Astyanax mexicanus: one gene and its partners. The protein of the gene in region 2 interacts with the protein of the main gene of each other region in a pairwise test. Links are inferred from orthologs where the notes say so. Each region holds a gene or a part of one and is shown on either strand. Other genes may lie near its edges.

Region 1 (6,999 bases), on a different chromosome or scaffold from region 2:
AAACAAAATGCAGTCTATAAACATTACAGCACGTGTGTCCGTAAGGCAGGAGCTAAATCGACACCAGAGAAATAGCCACGTGTTTGTATTTCTCTACAGGCGTTGAGATGGTCAACGGTCTCTAGGGCTTTCACGCGCGGCACGCACTTTTATGCAGAGCATCGCTTTTTACGCATGCCGCACGGTTTTACCCATTTTGGGCACTTTTATGCACAGTGGCTTTTACGCACGGCACGCGCTTTTAAGCACAGCTGCTTTTACGCACGGCGCGAGCTTTTACGCACGGGATGCGCTTTTACGCACGGCACGCGCTTTTACGCACAGCGGCTTTTACGCACGGCGTGAGCTTTTACGCACAGCGCCTTATACGCATGGCGCGAGCTTTTACGCACGACACGTACTTTTACGCACGGCACGCGTTTTTACGCACAGAGGCTTTTACGCACGGCACGCGATTTTACGCACAGCATGCCATTTACGCACAGCGGATTTTACGCACACTACGCGTTTTACGCACAACACGAGTTTTATGCATTGTGTGTGCTTTTACACGCGGCACGTGCTTTTACGCACGCCACGCGCTTTTACGCATTTTGTGCACTTGTCTGTACAGCGCGCAAAACACAGACAACATAAAATATATTTCATGATAAACGCTCTTTTCATCTTTTTGTACTGTAACATGTTTATAAACATATGAATGCACCAGCAAGCACGCCTGTTATTTTGAAGAGTCTTGCTCTACGTCTCTTAAGCCCCCTAAATGCATAGAGCCCTCAGTTTAATGGTGGTGTGCTGGTTTCTGTAAGATGAGCCGGAAGGTGTGCCTGCTGAAAGATGTGCTGGTTGGTGTACCAGATGATGTGAGATGCACTGGTGTGTGGGGTAGCTGCTTTTGGATATACTGTGATGCGCTTTATGGTGTATTTGTTATAAGATGTGCCGGGTGGTGTGCTGAATGGCATCAAACGTTGGCTGGATAGTGTGCCAGTTGGGTTGCTGGCTGCTGCAAGATGTGCTGGGTTGTGTGCTGGATTGTATAAGATGTGCCAGGTGATGTTGCGGCTGCTTTAATATGCTCAGCAGCTTTAGGGTGTGCTGGATGGTATTTTGACTTACTTATGAAGCGCCAGTGTGGGTGCTGCTGTTTTAGGATGTGCCAGGTTGCGTGCCAGCTGCTGAAGATTGGCCCAATTAATTAATTTATATTTATTGGAGAAAACTACTATTTGCACATGTAGTGCAAACTGCATTTGTTTGTGTGTACTTCCTATTAAGAGAATGCTAATGTATTGTACTGTTACTGAGGTTTTTAAATATTTTAGACTATTTGTTATTTTAAGAATTAAAAGCAATACTACATCTTAAAAAAAAAAATTATATATTTAAATATTTTTGTCAGCAAGCCAATCATATTGGAGCGTTCTCTTGCCGCCCCGCCCACCTTACCCTACAGGCGCGGTAATTGGTGACGTCAATCCAACGCGGCCATTTTATTGTGCCTCTTCACTTTTCCCCAGACTGGTCCCTTGATTTTCAAATGAAATGCTAAATTTGCTGATAGTCAGTGATGGTTTGGAGCCATGTCATCTGCTGGTGTTGGTCCACTGTTTTATATTAAACTCCAAACTCGGTGCAGTGTTTTCCCGGAAAATCTTACACCACTTCATGTTTCCCTCTGCTGACAACTTTTATCTAAATGCAGATTTCATTTTCCAGCAGAACTTGGCACTCTGCCCACACTGCCAAAAGTACCAATTAGTCTTATTCTATTTTTCTGAGACTTTTTTGTCTGAGACAGATTTTTAGAGTTTTATTGGCTGTAAGCCATAATTATCAACAACAGAAGAAATGAAAGCTTAAAATAAATTACCCAGTGTGTAATACATCTATATAATAAAATATGAGTTTCACATTTTGAACTGAATTACTAAAATAAACGTAACTTTTTAATGATATTCTATTTTTTGTTGTTGAGATGCACTAGTAGCAGCTACGAAATGCTCACATTCAGGTGTTTTTTTTTTTTTACCGAAACAAAAAAAAACTCTGCAGCAAAAAAAATCTAAGACCTGAAACCCTCGTGATGCTTTTATTCAGTTTCGCACTTTCTAGATCAGTGGTTTTGAGCCGGTGGGCCATGGCCCCCTAGTGGGTCTCAGTGGTACTGCTAGGGTGATTTGGGCCAAAAATAAAGCTCGTTTTCTCTTTTGTTGAATAAAAACCCTTTCAGTATATACAGATATTTAATGAAGATCATTTGAGATGTGATCGGTGTTGAGGATTTTTTTTGCAAAAATAAAACATTGTTATATAGAGCTCGTCGATTGATCTGTAATAGTACACTCACGTGCCCGACACTGTTATCTGGTGGATTAGCAAGCTAGTTGATGGCTAGCTCTGTTAATATTAGTTGAAGTCTCGGTAAAGGTTTCTATCTTATTTTGTTGCGTTATACTGAGTTTTATCCAGCCTGGGAGTCTTATGGCGTGTCTATGGGTGTCTCTGAATCGAAGTTTAGTAATTTAGCCATCTAGCCTTCTAAAATACAGCTCAACCCGTTTTGGGTGCTTTTACGCACGGCACGCGCTTTTACGCGCGGCACGCGCTTTAACGCACGGCACGCGCCTTTACGCACGGCACGCGCTTTTACGCACAGCGACTTTTACGCACGGTACGAGCTTTTATGCAGGGCATTGCTTTTTTTTACCCACGGCGCGCGGTTTTATCCTATTGGGCGCTTTTACGCACAGTGGCTTTTACACATGGCGCGCTTTTATGCACAGTGGCTTTTACGCGCGGCACGCGCTTTTACGCACAGTGGCTTTTACGCAAGGCGCGCGCTTTTACGCACGGCATGCACTTTTACGCATTTTATCAATATACTTGATAAATGCTCTTTTCATTTCTTTGTACTGTAACATGTTGATAAACATGTAAATGCACCAGCAAGCGCGCCTGTTAATGTAAAAAGTCTTGCTCTACCTCCCTTAAACCTCTCTTAAATGCAAAGATCCCTGGTGGTGAATTCAAATAAGCTGTTCATTTTCGGTGTGCTTTCTGCAGTAAGATGTACCGGTTGGTGTGCCGGTTCCTGTAAGATCAGCCGGAAGGTGTGCCTGCTGAAAGATGTGCTGGTTGGTGTACCAGGTGCTGTGTGATGCACTGGTGTGTGTGGTAGCTGCTTTTGGATATACTGTGGCGTGGAAGAGGAAGGAAGACCCGTGAGACTCATGCTGAATGCTCAACAGCTCCTTTATTGAACCGGCTTGCCACTCACTTACAGTCTTTAACAAGACTAGGAGATCTAAAACCATCCCCACAGAGCTCAAATAGCCCAAAGGCCACCAACCCAGCTGTGTGTCTCCCAGATGGCAGATCCAGAGTGGTGCCCACCCTCTCTGCATAACCCCTCCCAAGGGAGATGCCCCACCCCTGTCATCCTCGTACACAGGAGAACAGAAACATGCCTGCAGGCAGCCACACACACAACCCAGAGCCGCCACAATACTGTGATGCGCTGTATGGTGTGTTTGTTGTAAGATGTGCCAGGTGGTGTGCCGGATGGCATCAAATGTGCCGGATAAAGTGCTGGCAGCATTAACGTTGGCTGGATAGTCCGTGGGTGCTGCTTTTCTAGGATGTGCCCGGTTGCGTGCCAGCTGCTGTAAGATTAGCCAGAATTATTGTTGTTTATTTATTGGAGAATACTACTATTTGCACTTATGGTAACGTTACAAACTGCATTTGTTGTCATGTACTTTCTATAAAGAGAATGCTTTGTATTGTACTTATTACTGAGGTAATTCAAATTGTAACGATTATTATTGTTATTGTTATTTTAGGAATTGAAAGCAATACTAGTTATATTTTAAGATAATTTTTTAAATATATTTATATATTTTTTGTCAGCAAGCCAATCATATTGCAGCATTCCTTCGGCGCCCCGCCCACCTTACCCTACAGACGTGGCAATTGGTGACGTCTATTCAACGCGGCCATTTTCGACGAGGGTCGGTAGAGTTGGGGTCTGGAGTTGGTGGATGTGATTTCGTGTTGTGTGGGTTTGATTAAGGAGACAAAAGCGCCAGGTAAGAGTTTATCGCTGCGCTTAGCGAACTTTTAAACCTCGCTGTGCCGCGTAGTTTAGCTGTGGGTGTCTATGAGGCGGAATGTAGTTAAGCTAATCTGCTCAGAAAGCTGAAGACCCGGAGTGCAGGAGCTCAGTGGGGGAGCTGAACTCTCAGCTAACAGGCTAACTAGCTGGCTAACTCCATTTAAGAGCCGTTTGACTGCTACATTAACATTTGTCTGATTTTTCTGCGCTGAGCTGTTTAACAGACGCAGCCCAGGAGCCTTTCCCACCTGTGTGATGTAAGTTACTTTGAGTGCAGTCAGACTCCTCCACTCAGTGGTGTTCATGTTAGCTAACATTAGCTGGGGTTAGGTTAGTTACCATAACCCAGATAGCTATGTTAGCTAACAGTTAGTGTCAGTTAAACTAGCTACATTAAAGTATGTTGTGACTTACACTTTTCTGTGATAATTTAGACATTTATTCCGCAGAAACCAGCAGTAAAACTATCTATATCTGCATGCCCTGTTCTTGGCTGATTGCTCAATCTGTAAACCCCAGACCCTGAAGCTCACAGACTTCCCCTGTTTGTGTTCCAGTGAGCTGATCTGATCTCAGCTGTTGAAGACGTGGCAACAGCACCCAAGGCAGACTTACATGCTGATTAAACATTAGCTAAATATCTCTGAAATAAGTGTTTTATTTAATATAGAACAATCAGACCTCCTGCTAGGGATGAAACAAACTATGAGAGTTCATAGTTCAGAGCTCAGTGCTATTTGAGCTAAGTAGCCACAGAGCCCATAAAATGTAAGGGTAGAAAAAGAATGCAGCTACTGAAACATAATGTGTTCTCTCAGTTTAACAGTCCAGTCTGTTTCACCTGCTTAAGAAGTTGTTTCCACCTGCTGCTTTCCCTGCTTTAACACACTCACTTAAAAACTCAGTAATGGATGACAATAAGGGGACAATTTATGTATCTGTAGCTAAGGCTGGGCGATATTGTAAAAAAGAAAAAAGAGAGAATCTTCATATTCTTCAAATGTATGAGCGTTTCTCGATTACAGTATTCCATTTTTGTTTATTGCATAACTTTAGTGTTTTATTTTAAACAAACAGCACTATTTAAAGTGTTACACATTTTGTATATAATTTCTTATTTTTTATAGTTTTTAGTAAGCAGCCAACTTTAACCTTACAGCAGTTTTAATACTAGACACAGTACAAGCATTGTATTTCCGTTAAGGAAAAATATAAAATAAGATCACTGCCCTTACAAGTTTCTAACACAAACAAATGTCTGTGTACTGATATCCCCTCTGGCAACAGTATGTAAAGTTCTACAATCTTAGATATCCAAAACATAAAATTAATCCAATTAACCTCCCAGCCCTATCTATAGCTGTATTATTTTTTTTCCATGAAACTTCACTGTTCCCTTAGTTTAATGTAGCAGTCTGTTTCACTTGCTTAATATGTTGCTCCCTTAGTTTTGAGGGAATGCTCTATGCCAACCATAGTACATAGAACAGTATATATTACCTCTGGTCCTGAAGGCCCTGCACATTTTAAGGATGTCAGCTTATTTCCATCCCATTATTGAGTTAAAGTGGGGGTGTTAAAGCAGAGGAATTACTACAATGATGGAAAGTGCTGCGCTAGAGGACAGCTTCTCATCCGTAACATATATTTTCTTATATTAGCCAGCTCTTACAATATTAGGTAGCTAACAACTTGCTTGGATTCCTTGTAGATGCCTAGACTTTACATGAACTCTAACAAGGATTTTTTTTAACCTTTTGCTTCTGCTTGTGTGGCTATTTACCTGAATATACTGGACCCATGTGCATGTACAAAGACTTTTTTTTTTTAGATTCATTTATAAGTTCCCTACTTTAGTACACCCCCTGCCACTCTAAAAGAACTTGTTAATTAACTGATTTGAATGTGTTTAAGTGTGTTGGGTGCAGGGAGATGTGTGAGACAGGGTTAGCAAACACTGATCTGTTAAATGCAACTGAACTCTTAAGTAAATGATACTCTGTTGAAGCAGCCATAACATTAATCTAGTGTTTAGGGAAGATTCAATTTTAAGGTAGGCGTAAGTTTAGAGTCACATTCCACATTTACTATTTACATTGAAGGACTAGGTTCAGTTGCATTTAATGTGGGTTTAGTTGAATGTTGGGTGAACTTCTGTGGCTTCTCTATAATGGGGAAAATGTACCATCCGGTGATGCACAATGTTAGGTATTAAACAGAATGTTTGGTATAATTTACCCAACCTTTCTTTGCAAAATAAAAACTTTCAGTTTGCTTATAACTGCAAAATTTAGTTCAACCTGTTGCTGTTGACAGGAGGCAAACACACCTTGTTACTTTGCTTGGAGCAGTGCCAAGCCTCTTTCTACAGTATTATTAGCACAGACTGAATTGCTTTTGTCTTCTTCACAATCCCCAGGATTGAGGAAAGATGATGGAAGAGAGTGGAATAGAGACTACCCCACCAACCACTCCTCCACCTCCCCCCAGTGTGGCCGCTGCTGTTAGTCCTCCTCCTCTCACAGTGGGTAAGGTCTAAGCTGGTGCCTTTTGTTAGGTGATGGATATTTAGGGGGATGTTTACTGTGAATGTTTACAATGGAGCACCATCTGTGTGGAAGATAAAATTTTGCCACAGTGGAAACGTCTGTTCGATAGTCGTTTATTGAAAGTGACATTCAGCAGGTGCATCATTTTCTGAAAAATTCACATTGGCAAAAAATGAATGCATGCAATATTGGATAAAGTTGTGATTCATTAGAATCTAATACTTCTGTGGGTGCAGTGGAATCACCATCTTCAGATCATATACAAGTCAGACTTCTTCCATATGCACTAAATCATGATGACACTTTTTTACACCTGGTCTCTTTATGTGATTA
Region 2 (7,876 bases):
ATTGAAGAAATAATCCACCACACACAAACATCCTTACTAAACGTGCTATGTTTACATTATATTACCTCTCTAGTCAGTAATGTTCTACAGGGACTACACACGCTGTGTGTGTGTATTTGCACAGCTGTGTCAGCAATAAACTTTCGTGGCTAGTTTCCATACTGAGCCACGTTGACTGTGCTGTATCAGAAATGCTCAAGATCTTAAGAAAAACAGTAAAATTATTTAGTTATGCATGTGTGTGTGTGTGTTTTATCAGTTACTGCCTAAACCCGCTGGTCTAAATCAGAGCCCGTCCACTAAAATAACCCCACGCCTTGTTTAGAGTTAGCAGGCAGGGGCTAGTTAGCATTAGCTCCCACAGCCCCATTCATTCATTAGCGCACATCACGCTCTTCACAAAGGGCCATACCACAGAGTTAACCCGGCCCAGGTTTTAAACACCCCGCGCTGTTAAACACAGCTGGCTTTATTCAGGTTTACCCGTAACGCTCGCTTTAGTGACCCTCTGAACGATTGCTTTCATTGTTGCTGTCAGGAGTTCCGCTTTCCCAGCATTCATTAGCTACCTGCATCATCACTCCACACAACAGCGGGCGCGTCCCAAACGTACATCATGCTGCCTACTTAGGCAGGATTCTGAGGAGGAAAGACTCTCAGTTATGTCTGAATGTAAGCTTTGCAATCCTTGCCTTCTGCTTTATTGAGTGAAAGTACTGATTACAAATGCCAGCTTATAGAGAGGAATTGGTGCCAAATTAAGAAGCAAACACTTGATATGTTTATCAAAACACAAGAATTTCCATTTTTAAAACCAAACGCTGAAATAACGTGATGCTTCTTACTGAGTTTTATTCTGACTGGTTTCTTAGCCCCGCCCCACGTTCAGTAGTGGGTTCTGATTGGACAGTGATTACATTTTATATTGGCACGAATATAGTACTGCCCCTAGACAAAAGGCAATCCTGTGCATTGTAATTACAACGCATTTGAGCTGATTGCATTTTAACTTAAGTTTTGAAAATGTAAATTCTTGTGTATTGTTTTTCAATAAACAGATTAAGTGCAGTGAAATGTAATGTAATAGTGGCATCACATCACATCGTATTTTGCATGTTAGTAAGAAAAAACTTTTTTTTTTTTTAATTTTGCACCAATTTCTCTCCATACCAACACAAATAACCACTCATTTAAACACTAGCAGTGAGTTGTCATAGGAGGCATAGTCCAGATTGGATGATACATAACACTGATTATTGACATAAGGGTCAAAAGGTATTTAATTTTTTCAAGTAAAAAAAATACTGCATCAATTTGACATTGCTTGGTGATATTCCAATTCATAATTAGATTTTTGTCAACTCCGTCAGAAACATTAAAAGTATGTTATTTAAATTTTATCACGAGTGTATAGACCTTAAGTATTACACAATGTTGTGTAAAATAGTTAAATTATTCTAAATAATCCCATTGTAAGTAAAAATCCCATATGTATGGGTAATATTAAGAATATACAATCAGTGTTCTTAGGCAAATAAGAGCAAAAATCTGATTTAACACATCCACACAGCCAAAAAATCTGCTTTGAGCCACTGAAGGTAATTTGAACCCCAGACTAAACTGATTAACTGTATTAGGTGTAGCTTTAGAACAATCCAACACAAAGCCCAAAAAACACCAAGTTAATTAAAACAGTAATCCAGTAGTCTTTGATTTTCTGTGGTTAACAATAGTTGTCAACGATTGTTGTCTGGTGTGATACAAAGCAGAAAGAGCTGTTCTTTGTTCTGTGTTTTTAATTGATGTTTCTTCAAAACTGCAATTTTCTAAATGACACTGGCTGTTCACAACTCATCAACAGCCTGATGGGTGTAGCCACTTCATATATCCTGCTTCAACAGTCACAAAGTCTATTTTCAGCAATGTTGTCAGTTCTGATGGATAGCACAGTTAAACCAAACACTAACAATACTCTCATTTTAAATAATTTCCAAATATTACAAACTTGATCAATGACAAGAAAAAACAACATTCAGAGATCAAATTGCATTGATTTTACACAGCAAAAAATACAGAAGCTGATGACTTTCTTTTATAGTAGGCACAAATACTTTATATATTTTACATTAGATTTTTTACTTTAAACTGAAACTTTGAAGAAACAGTCCAGTTCACTCATTCTTCTTTCAGTCCTTAAACCAGTTTTAAGTCCTTATTTATCATCAGTTTGAGGTCCTGAAGAGCTGTCATCTGCCTTCCGGAAAAGGTTCAAAAATCTTGTAGAATACGGCACAAAATTGTTTTCTTTGTAGACCATTATGGTCGTAGAATGTGGTGTTTCAATCTTTTTCACGTTTGGCCGTGTGTCTTCCTCCATTTCAGGCATTTGAACTACAAAAAAAAAGTTTAGAATTAGAGTTTGTGGGATTAAATGCATATGGATCTACGATTTAACACATCTGAACGAGTAGATTAACTAACATCATCCCTTTGTTAGGCCATCTTGCTACTTTATTCATAAAGTTTTAAGGGTTTGGAAATCAATATTTGGTGGAATAGTCCTGGTTTTTAATCACAGTTTTCATGCATCTTGGCATCATGTTCTCCTCCACCAGTCTTACACACTGCTTTTGGGTAACTTTAAGCCTTTACTCCTGGTGCAACAATTGAAGCAGTTCTACTTTGGTTTTCAATTTGGTAAACTCGAAGAAAATCATATATTTTTAAGTGGTCTCCAATTTTTTTCCAGAGCTGTACCTAAAATTATATCCATATGCAAAATGCACATTTCTATTTGTCAGAATTACATGAACTATATTATAAATTACGATTTGTACTGAATATAACAGTTTGGATACCATATAAACCAAGTGACGAGACAAAATGATATTAAAGATAGTGAGAAGTGAGTAGTCAGAATGGATTTGTAGATCTGTTAAACTGATATAATTAATAATAAAGATCGTAGCTGATTTTGTACTGAGTGTTTGTATTTGTATTAAAGAGCTGAAACTGTGGGTTTGACCTCATGCTGTCCGCTTACCCGGCGGGTCGTTTCTGTGCGTGTATCTGTAGTACCCGTAAGACCCGAGCATAGTCCAGACTCCGACCGCGTACACCATCGCGGCGCGCTTATTCCACTTCAACGCGTCCATACTGTTTATTCCTTTATTACAGTTTATTCCTTTTTTACAGTTTATTTAACAATAAAACAACCTTAGCAAGGCTAAAGCTAATGTCATTTGAAGTATGCAACTCCAGCAGGCGTATGTGGTACGATAAAAGACCCACTGTCAAAATAAAAGTCTGAATCCAGGGCCTACTATATATTTTTTATTTTAATAAAGTGCACTGCTGTAAGGATGTATGATGTATGATGCATTGGTGAAAAATATTCTAATAATTTAAATTTTATATTGAAAAAAAAAAAAACAATAAAAAAAACAATAATAGAAAAAGAATTATTGTACTCTTAAGCTCGATAACTAAATACTTTATTGATCCCAGAGGGAATTCTAGACTTCAGTATCTAGTACACAGAAGTTACAAAAAATGATAAAATAAAATAAAACAAATAAATCTACAATTAAATATAAAGGAAAAAAAAGTTATTTTATTAAAAGAGTTATTTTATTGTCTGTAAAATGGAAGTAGTAAAGTTAAACACAGTCAAACAACAATGTACACAATGTACAATAAGTTGACATGTATTTATTTATTTATTTATTAATTTATTTATTGAAACTTTATCACATGTATGTAATAAATAAACTGTATTGGATGATTCAGGACAAAGTTTATTTAATTGACAATGATTTTAAAAATTAAAACCTAATTTCCACTGTTAACCCTGCAAAATTTCCACCAATATTAAATTAAACTTAAGTCACTCCGACTGTAGAATGTAGAGATGTCAGGGGATTAACACAGTCTGTACTGTATTTCTGACCCCTTATTGTTGTCTTTAAACGTAAAAATGTTAATTTAATTACATTTCAAAGGTAAAGACTTTTTCATAATACATGATGCATCCTTGAATTATAGCTTTTTAAGAGCTGGTAAGGATCCATGATAAGCAGTAGTTGGCGATTTAAGTTTTTTTGTCCCTCTCCTTTAAGCAGCCTCAGTCTGCCACTGTGTTATGGCAACTTCCAGCATGATCATGCATGTGACATGGTAAAAGTTGCCTTAAACTGGTTTCATGAACACAACAGTAAGTTCAGTGTTCTTTAATGACCTCTCTAGTCAGGAAGCAAAAACAGAAGTGGTAAAAAAGAAATAAGCATAACGTTTACTTCAACCAGATTGTCTGAAGAAGTTTTTGAACTTGTGAAGTCTTGTGAAATCCATGGCATGAAAAAATATAGTTGTTGTAACGTCAAAGGGAAGGAATCACTATATGTTCAAATATTTGATGGCACCTCATGTAATGAATGAACTGTAAGTCCCTGTATATATATATATATATATATATATATTTTTAGATATAACAAATTATTTTCAAATAAGTACAAAGGATAATAAAATAACTAAGTATATTTTAAAATATAGGTTTGAAATGTTTTCCTTTTGATTCCTAATATTTTGTTTAATGTGTATGTTATGTGTTTATATTGATTTATATGGAAACCTGGTATATACAAAGCCCTGTCAGCACTTCCTCTCTCTGATGTAGGTTAAAAGCGCAGAGGCGTCATTAGCGTGGGCGGGGCGTTTTGATTGGCGTCAGTCTGAAAGGACCAATGGCGAAGTGCAGAATATGTAGTAACACGTCATTCTACTGCTGGAGCTTCAGGAACTGGTGCTGCCGGCGAGAAGTTACCATTTGATTTATGATTATCTGTCCTAAAGCTCGGGATTCAGTATAGATGAGCTGTTTATAGATTATTTATCGAGGCTGTGAGACTGTGTAGCGGATTTAACTGAAAGGTAAGACCGGGTGCTTCTCTTTACCGGAGCCGCTGAGGCCGCCGGGGCTCACAGCTCGGGGACCGGGGCAGTGCGGCGGATTATCTGTCGGCTAGCCTGCTAGCTAACCTAACTAGCTCATAGTAACAAGTGCAGAGGAGCCCAACGCTGTTTAATAATATTGTATGTAAAGTATAAAGTTTGTTTTTACAGCTAACATTATTATTTGTTTATACAGCTAACATTTTATTATAATATACATTGATATACCTAGCTGACTGTACTGTTTTTAATCGTAGCGTTAAATGAATGGCGTTAGCTTCAGTTTCACATTCAGCTAGCCAACAGGCTATATCAGGTTAGCTTGCTAGTTAGCTAACCAGCTCCCGTTAGCTGCTTAGCTAAGCTAACGTAGCAATCTAGATATACATTAAGTTTTAACGTTGCGAAACATCGATGTAATGACCGTTATACATTATCCTGAATACGTTACACAGATAAAAAACGTATGTTAATTTTTTATCGTTAATTTACCATCTCTAGTGCACTGAAACAATGTTGCTCGACGTTAAAATTGATTTACTAGTAAATATTGATTTAACATTGATTCAACGTTATATATTTAGTAACTGTTGTATGTGTTAAAATATATTTGTATGAAATATATATATATTCTATATGTTGATTCTGTTCTTATAGCTTGCATTGAGCCCCAAACCTTTAAAGGCTACATATTACAATCAGAATTATAACTTTAGCCAATGCCTATTAGCAATATAAATTACAGTAAGGTTGTTTAAACGTTTTCCATCATCAGCATTCAAATATGTAATGTAACCAAAAAAACTCAAAACATGTTATTAAATGTTTTTGCTGTCAGGGAAGATAATTACAAGTTTGCTCACAAAGCTAAGCTTACCTAACTTAACCTTTTGTTAATCTGTTTTAATTCCTTTGAAAATATCAGTTTTCAAAATAGTTCCAGAATATTTTAAAAAGATTTATAAAAAGCACATTTGCACTGGGTATAATGTCAAAATGTATTAAAATCAAGTGTACACTGTACTGTGATCGATATGCTTGCATCAAGCTTTTTTTGTTGTGATATTATGTTATTATGCATACATAATCCAAAAAAAAGAGTAGTAAGTGTGATACTTGAGTTTGGGATGTAGTTGAACTAATACTAAAAATATGTAAGACAAAAATCTCGTTGAGTGCAGCAATTCATTAAATTTACTACGTTTCTGTCCACCACTGGTTACAAGCAGTTTGGGATTATGTATGTAAACGTTGTAAGCAAACGTTTGCTGATGGTGTGTTAGACATCCTATTAACACTCCTGTTACTTTCAGCTGTTAGGGAATAATGCAGCAATAATGTTCCTGGGTCAGATTGATCTGGTGCACCAAAATTAACCCTTACTTAAGCTCAATTAATATATCTCCAATCAATAATTAGTGTCATAAAAATATTAAATTTTACATGCTTTGATTCACTAGCCAACAATGTTTTAAAAAGTAAACATGTTGCAACACTTTAAAATAAGTACATTTTCATTTTCATATTTGTTTTATTTATTAAGCCAATCTGAAAATGATTCATGCCTCACAGATAATTAAACATAATATATATTAATTCTTTACACTTTAAACTTGTAGGTTTTTCCTACAACAAAATGAAATGGTAATACTGGTATTTATAAAGAGTATTTAAACCTATTCTGGTAGCAGCAAGTAAATACTGAAACAAAAAACAGCCAATACAGGATAAACCCTAACAAACTGAAATCTTTGTGTTCTCATAATAATTAACAACCAATCATCAGGAGAGCAGGAGATATGAACTGATCGTCTGGTCGTATTGACTCTGCAGAGTGCAGCGTGTCATTTGGTTCAGAGGTTAAAGTTCAGCTCCATCCAGCTGTCTTCTGTGATTCAGTGATTTCAGTACAGCCAGCCTGTCAGCAGCCTGCGGAGTTTACTGTAGGTGTGCCCCAGTGTGTAGAAGGAGTGACGTATCTTAGAAATAAATAGCTTGAAACGTTTCTGTGAAGCATTTGGCTCATGGCGTCTTTTCACTAAAGCGACTATAGGAAGAAATGTATTGAATGAGCAGGTGTGTCTTTCTCCTGTGCAATTTTAGACTTCATGGTATGTTGTAGATCCAGTTAGGATGCATTAGCCAGGTGTATCTCAGACTCAGGGTATAAAAGGCTCTGTGAGTCATTGGTGTCTCAGTTTTCTCTTTCTCTGGCTGCTTGCACTGTTTCCCTACAGATAAAATGGCAACGTTTCAGGAGTTTATTCAACAGAATGAGGATCGTGATGGGGTGCGATGCAGCTGGAACCTCTGGCCCTCCAGCAGGTTGGAGGCCACGCGAATGGTGGTACCAGTATCCTGCCTTTTCACCCCCCTTAAAGAGCGGCCCAACCTGCCTCCGGTACAGTACGAACCCGTGCTCTGCAGTCGAGCCACCTGCAAAGCCGTGCTCAACCCACTCTGGTAAGTGGATATCATGTATATGTATATACAGCAATTTGTGTTGGATTTAGATATACGGTGTAGATTTTATGCTTTTGTATTATTGTACATTACTCCTGGAATAAAATTATTTCCGTTGTATGACTCTGGGAAGGGGGTCAATAAAGGTTCTGTTGTTGACTTTATGTTTAAGAAATAGCTGCAGGTCATTCTAATGTACTGTGTTATTCCATAAGCAAAAGCTTTTTGTGTTTTTATTTTTTATTTTTCTTTATTTTTAAATTATTTTTTAAATCAGTATTCAATTTTATGAAAAAAAAAAAAAAACTAACACTACCTGGCCCTGTATGAAAAAGGTAGAGAGAGCCTAGAAAGGAATAAAAAACTATTTCAGTGGCACCGGAAACAACAGTGAGATAAGAACTACAAATGGAAAAATGTTTTTTTTTTCCTAGTGCACCCAGATGCCGAGCTTCCACTAAAA
Region 3 (7,054 bases), on a different chromosome or scaffold from region 2:
TGGATAGCGACCGCAGAATGAGTTTACAAAATAAGAGCTCATTGGTTGGTTGACAGCGATTACCTGATAATTGCTCTGCCGGTATTATTGTTATTATTACCACCGTGGAGAGAACAACAATGCCGCGCGTGCTTGATTTGTGTCTCTTGATGCTTTTGCGCGTCTATTGCACCCTTGCACAATTTATGATGAATTATGGAAATGACTGAGACACAGACTTCATGCTCTCTTACGTAGGCGCCCAAATATGGGGTATGGGTTGAAGTCACGTGTTTTTTGTTGACCAGTCGTAAATCCTGTGTGATGACCTCCAGCGGTAAACTCACGCGCGAGCAGGAAATCTGGGTGGAATTGTTTGAAGGCTCTAGCGGTGCTGTTTAGAACTGTAGTGTTGCGCCACCCTTTGGTATAACCGAAGAATTCCCCCCTCACTGCCCTACTCGAGGCTACAGGCTGGGACAGGGTCATGCAGAGGTTAACGACTTTGCAGTGGAAAAATTATCACTGCTGAAACAAAACACAATACCGTGACCTCGCTGGAAAACGCTCCGAAACATTTCGTTGGGTACAATGCAATCAAACAGAATAAACAAAAAGCAAGCGATCCAGTGAAATAGCAATATCAGATATTAAAAGAAAATGAAAGCGTATTTTAAAAGCAGCCTCTCTGAAGCAAAGAAAAAATCCACAAACAATAAAAAATAATAAAAACTGTTCATTATTTTGAACTCATTGTTAAAAGCCATACCTTCCAAAAAACACATATCTACACAGTGCTCAAATCCTCCTTTAAATTTGAGAGAAATAAAATCTGGAGTAAAGTGCAGAGATGCAGATGCAACAAAATGAAGTCTCCCGAAAGATCAATATTTCCCTAAATCTTTTAAATATTCTTCACACATCAGTTTTACAACATGCTACTTTTTTAATTGCATTACTAAACTAACCCCATGTTTAAAAATGCAAGTTAAAAAATAAAGAAATCAGCTCAAATCTTTAAATTAAACCTTATGATGCGATAAGAAAGCAGTAGATCACGTATAGCAAGTCGATCAGTTAAATAAACCTCTTGTTAAAGAGTGCATGTAAATGAGGTGTGTGTGTGTGTGTGTGTGTGTGAGAAAATTCTTTTTTTAGCCTTTAGCATTTATTTTTTTTACTTGAAACTCAAATGCTAAAATTGCAAATATTTTTAAGCTCTACAAAATCTACCTACTACCACACAAAAGACACAGATTCAACACCGCAACGGAGAAATTGGAATTGGAGTAATACTCATTGTTAAGCTCATCTCTATCGTAGCCAGAAACGTCTAACCAATAACTAAACGACAGCAGATATAACACGAGGAATACAGTCAGACTGAGACATCACACATGGGCGATAAAAGCGTTGATGCTTATAACTGGCCTGTGACGTTGTCGTAAAATAAAACCATGCATAAAACCTCGCTTGTGCGCAGTAAAAAGCTGCGAGTGCACTACGACAGAGATTTTGCTGCGTATCGAATAAAAGCAGTGATACATCCTCAGTGAAGGAATCGAAAAGAATTTTGTAAGTTAGAAACCTCGCTAAATAAAAATGAATTATGATTTTTGCATACGCATTGGTAAGCTGTCACCAGACAGTTTTTTGACCTAAAAATTAAACGACAAAGGATACGGAATTAAAACTATTTGATACAACATTAGGAATTATTTAAACTGAATTTGACCATGAGAGCAGGGCATATGGATCAGCAGCACAATTAAATATTTTAAAATGTTTTTTATTTTTCAGATTTGAGTATTAAAACCCTCGATACAGCTACTCGTTGCAAGGTATGTTTGGTTGCAAGATGTATGGTTATCAGAATTGTAATGATTTAAATATAAAGGGCTTTTCAGATGAATAACGTCAACGTCAACATAACATCACATGACGGGGAAAAGTAGTACAGTACTGAAAAATGCATTCTATCCATTTTGCTTCAAATAGTGCAAACGTTTTAATACTATTTGCTTAATACCGAGTAAATTCGCTAGTGTGAGATCAACACTGTTAGTGTTATATGTTAATTTAAAACTAACAGTGTTGATTTAACACTAGCGAATGTATTGTGTACAAATTACTTTACAATTGTAAGAGATTGGTCAAGCCAATATATTAAAACGTTTAGTATAGTGACACAGTGATTTTAAAAATATGTAACTGAGGTTAACGGTCTAATTCAAAACAGATCTATATGTCACATACTCTTAAGAGGAAACAGGCTGGTCTAAATAGCAAGCAAGCGTCTGAAAATAGAACCAGAACAGATTTTCCCCACACTCCTTCCAGACCTTCATCGCCATGTAGGCAAGATCAAAACATTTGTACAGAAGTTGCACTCCAAAGGGCATGCTTTTGAACGCCATGCACTTTACAGGTTTACAATCATTAATTTTAACCTCTGCAAACATAGAACCTATGCAATTCTTATCTGTGCTTTATGTCACAGCGCCCCCAGATGGTTGGTTTAGAATCTGCCTCTGCGACAGACCGAGACAACACCACATGTTAGGGCTATATTTTGGCAAAGGCCTAAACGTCTATAATGAGATTGCCAGTGCGCCTTTGCTGTCAGCAGTACGTGAACACTAATCATCAAACCCTCCACTCCAGTTCACACTGGTATCAGGACCCCAGCCAAGTTTGTGTTTTTTCCAGGCATTTTTTCGTCGGTCTAAGCTGAAAGAAATGTCTTGTAATCACAACTGATGTCCAGACTATTATTCGCAGATTAATCGCAAATTATCTTACTAGGCGTAAACATCTGATTTCCCCCCAAAAAATAGAAAGCAACCGGTCGTTTTTGAGCACTGACAACAATACAAATGTCATATTTTGAGAACAATAATGATAATAAAATAACTTTTAACATATGTTTTAGCATAAGGTTCTAGACTCCTACCAGTCATAGCAGTAGAACGTGGATCCCAGAACGTGGGAAACATCTGACAGCTGTCCAGCTCAAAGTGCAGTCCATACATCCAGTAAGAAAGCATCCTAGCGGTGCCCACACGTCCTTTAGCTTAGAGATCCTCACCCACGGCGTTGAAATAAAGCTGTAAGAAACAAAACTACACAAACAAACAAATATATCAACAGCGAACGCTGCCGGAGAAAACAAGCGCGAGCGTAGGAGCGAGCCGCGCGACAAGAATGCAGCCCTATTCTGGGGAAGGGAAGCATGCACATAAAAAGTTCATGTGCATGGGACCTTGAGGTCATGTGACCACCGCTTGCCAATAGGAACTCGTGTAGGCTCGTAAAGTTGTGAAGCGGAGTAGTAAATTTTCATAAACAACAACAGATTTATAGTCGCGTCCTGGCTAAAGGAGGAGAAGGAGGAGCTAGAAAGGAGGGATTTTTGCAAGGCGCCATTTTACATAGAGGAGGAGCACAGAGAAAGCTGTGCTGTGTTGCATACCGAATCAAAAACCATTATGCAAATCCTTACAGCCCTGATTAACGTAAAGCGCGGAACCAGTGAGCCTTTACCAGTCAGAGGTGCTTCACCAATCAACGCTTTACCTTCGCTACAGATATATGACAACGCATGAACATGGGTACATATGCATAATATATAAGCGTATATAGTAAACTTAGAGGTATAGTGTACATGATGCACCATATTTTCTCACCATATATTTTTTCATATTTTCTGTTGAACATAGTGTATGTGTTTCTATATGTTGATGAAACAGATGTTCTCTTTTTGAAATGGCTAGGTTTAAACAAGCTCGCATGTATTTAATATGTGACAGTGACACGTTATTCAGCAAGTACATAAGCGTCTGTGTTCACGTCTAGACTGCTTATTATGTTACTGTATCATATATGTGTGCGCTCACCAAGACTCTTCTTTTTACTATAGACAGTAAGAAAGTTATTCTCTTGAAATGGCATGGTCCAAAAAATGTTCTTCATACAATCTGTATAAATTAAAATCAATCAAAATAAAAATAGTGACAATTTGACAATACTTCTACTAGTATCTCGGTATTATTGCTTTTTGAACATATATGGTTGTGCTGGACTAAATTATACAGTATAAGACATTCTCTGTCTTGTATAGATAGACTTTTTGTAATGTCATGTTTTAGATAAAAATGGAAAAGCTGCATGATATATTAGAATTAGAGATTTAAAAAAAGTTAAAGTAAAAAAATCAAAGTCTGGGTATATTTAGGTCATGGTTACTTGTACAGTGCACAAGACAGTAAGCAGCACCAACAAAGATAATTCATTAATAATTTATTTCTCACTTTATTCACGTTATTTCTGCATTGGATCTGTACACAAATGTATTGCTTCCATCATGTAATGAGAATCAGGTCATGGTTCTCATAAACTGATTCACTTTAATATTACTGTTAAATTAATTAATTTGCTTAATCATTTACCTTATCCTACTGGTTTTGTAGGATTGCACATCATTACTACTGGATAATATTTGACTGATGTTAACTAAGTTCCAAAGATATGGTACTGTCACCAATACTGTACATTAAAATTGTTCTAACTATTAACAACTTAAAAAGGGTTCTTAAAACAATTTAAAAAATTATTTGGCTAAATGTTTATAAAATAATTAACCATATATCTGGTCAAATTTAATTTAAAGATTTTTGTTTAAGTTTAGGCCTAAACTTAACTTAACTAAACAGGCCTATTTTTTTTACACAGAATAATGGTAACTCAACACTTCATCAGATCAATTTAGCAACCATAGTGTTAATATAACACTGGCACGTTTGCTTTGTAAGTAAAAAAAAATATCATAGACATAATATGTAAAATACGAATTAGTTATTTTAAAGAATACAAGCAAAGTACATTGCGTAAATACATTAATTTAATCAATTTATGTAGGACACAAGGTAAATCATATGTAATTTTTCTAGGAAGTTCGTTATGCTGGTGTAGGCCCTGCACTGCATATTATTTGATATCAACATGCTTTCTTTGTAGAGTCTTCGAGCGTGTTATAAAATGTATTAATTTATTAAATACTACTTTCTGATTGGCCAACGTTGAATGACAAGGCAGTCATTAACAACCAATAATAAAGACATTAGCCGTTTAGCTTACATACAAACAAGCACATCCAACTATCAGATCAAAGGTAAAAAAAAAATGAATTCATACCTGATGATCTGCTCCAAGGCTTCATCTTTGAGCAGATGCTGGTCAGGGCTGTTGTTCCACATATTCCACATCATAGGAAGTCTCTGAGAAATCCCAGTTTTTTTGTGATGAGCGCCATGTATTGATAATTAACGATGTAGATAGTAATTCTTTATTTCTACACTGTAGCTGAAGCTGAACGCAATGTTCATCTGCTTGTACTGCATAAGGGAACTGCGCATTACTGGGAAAAACACCCACAATGTAAGATGAATTCATTTTTCGCTTCCAGTTGATTTGTTGGACCAGAATCCTCAGTGTCGTTTTTACGAGGTAGGGAGATATATGATGCCATTACAGCCAGAGTTCACACCAACCTGAAACTTACAGACATTGGGCGTTGGATATCACATGGTTAGAACCTATGCAGTTACCAACCAATCAGAAACGGCGTGTGTTTTTATAGGTTTTTAGTGACAAGCTCCATTTCACACGTTTCTTCATTTAGACACTGTAGAAGCGTTTCCTTTAAAAAAAAAAAATACATTAATTCTTATCCATCTATATATCTCTATATATATTTTATGCAGTAAATTTACCAGTTGTCAAAACATCTTTATATTAATACAGGCAAATTGTTTTGTATTTGTAGTCATCTTAAACCCCGGGCCAAATTACATTTGTTGTAAACACGTCACATTAGAAAGCATAATTACAATTGCTTAATTTAACATTTTGTTATAATGTACATGTGTCATAATTTCCAAACTAAATAGAAATCATGTATAAAACGTGCAGATTTTTATAAATACGTTTGTGTCCATGAGTACTTATTTTTATTTCAAATATCTAAACGCGCAATTTGCCCGAGGGTGCACAAGCGTTTGCATAAATCTGAATATTTGATGCGTAATGTTCTGATACAGAACAATGACAATATGTTGGTTAAATGAGACAATTCTCATTCTCTGTATTTGTTTGTAAAATTATTTTTTCGGGAAGCAATAGTTAATATGTTAATAATATTTTCTAAAATCTTAGACAAAACAAAACAAAAAAAATCTATCCACCACGTTTTGACAGATTTCCTTATGATTTGTTTGCTTTCCTTTTTTACATTCATTGTCCACAGTTAATATACCCATTTTCTTACACTCGGCGAACAGAATTTTAGAATAATGGAATTTTGTATTTATGGAAGAGCTAGCAATCACAGCCCGAGGCAAAAAAAAAAAAAACAGACCACAGAATTGTACCACCTGTATTTTACCGTAAACAAAACAATAATAAAGCTGTAACAAACTGTGTAATTTGAAGCCATTTAAAAATCAGCAAATTTCCTTTTTTTTATTGGAAAAACTAGCCCTACCGCATAACTCATTTTGAGGGCTTGACCTTAAAATGAATGCAACTTGAGTTACACCGCAAATGTAACCGTGTTAAAACCGTGCAATATCACATGAAAGCCTGACTGCCGAAACACATGTGTAATGGGAAATGCAACACCCTGGACGGCAGGATGACACGATGTTTTAATCCTGTCGAACACTGCATCCAATATCATAACGAAGGCATAATTGAGATACACCACTTGTAACTGTTTAGTCTGTTTGATGAATCAGCAAGATGGCAACATAATATAATTACACAATATAAATAAGCTATAAATATTTCAGTCATTCATTATATATTATAAAGAAAAACGAGAGTAGCAGAACAGGGCGCCAACAGCATGCTTTACGGTGAGTTACTCTTTATTCCGAAGCAAAATCAAAATTAAATGATCACAAGAGATTGTAGTGCCTGCTTTATCACTATGTTAACGAACAAGCAGCCAATTCTATGGTATCTTTGCATGTATACATGTATAAATACACTCCTAAAAATAAAACTCCTAAATATG

The links. The genes of interacting proteins can lie anywhere in the genome.
Region 1: the proteins of sec23b (region 2) and prrc1 interact in binary tests that used the Homo sapiens proteins (3 or more experiments, as listed by UniProt). The two-hybrid records come from large-scale screens. The link is inferred for Astyanax mexicanus from reciprocal best matches to the Homo sapiens genes SEC23B and PRRC1.
Region 3: the proteins of sec23b (region 2) and hoxa3a interact in binary tests that used the Homo sapiens proteins (3 or more experiments, as listed by UniProt). The two-hybrid records come from large-scale screens. The link is inferred for Astyanax mexicanus from reciprocal best matches to the Homo sapiens genes SEC23B and HOXA3.

What each region holds. Positions count from the first base shown.
Region 1 is NC_064427.1:29,012,037-29,019,035, forward strand, and holds the start of prrc1 (protein PRRC1), read left to right. Parts: upstream 1-3,981; 5' UTR 3,982-4,091; intron 4,092-6,536; 5' UTR 6,537-6,548; coding exon 6,549-6,645; intron 6,646-6,999. UniProt on the Homo sapiens protein: May act as a regulator of the protein kinase A (PKA) activity during embryonic development.
Region 2 is NC_064412.1:55,309,096-55,316,971, reverse strand, and holds the start of sec23b (protein transport protein Sec23B), read left to right. Parts: upstream 1-4,763; 5' UTR 4,764-4,929; intron 4,930-6,890; exon of another isoform or gene 6,891-7,026; intron 7,027-7,187; 5' UTR 7,188-7,192; coding exon 7,193-7,413; intron 7,414-7,876. Other genes in the region: dtd1 (D-aminoacyl-tRNA deacylase 1), read right to left, coding at 484-562; small integral membrane protein 26-like, read right to left, coding at 2,213-2,391, 3,044-3,155. UniProt on the Homo sapiens protein: Component of the coat protein complex II (COPII) which promotes the formation of transport vesicles from the endoplasmic reticulum (ER).
Region 3 is NC_064410.1:62,557,777-62,564,830, forward strand, and holds the start of hoxa3a (homeobox protein Hox-A3a), read right to left. Parts: upstream 3,019-7,054; 5' UTR 2,933-3,018; intron 2,922-2,932; exon of another isoform or gene 43-2,921; coding exon of another isoform or gene 1-42. Other genes in the region: hoxa5a (homeobox protein Hox-A5a), read right to left, coding at 1-42. UniProt on the Homo sapiens protein: Sequence-specific transcription factor which is part of a developmental regulatory system that provides cells with specific positional identities on the anterior-posterior axis.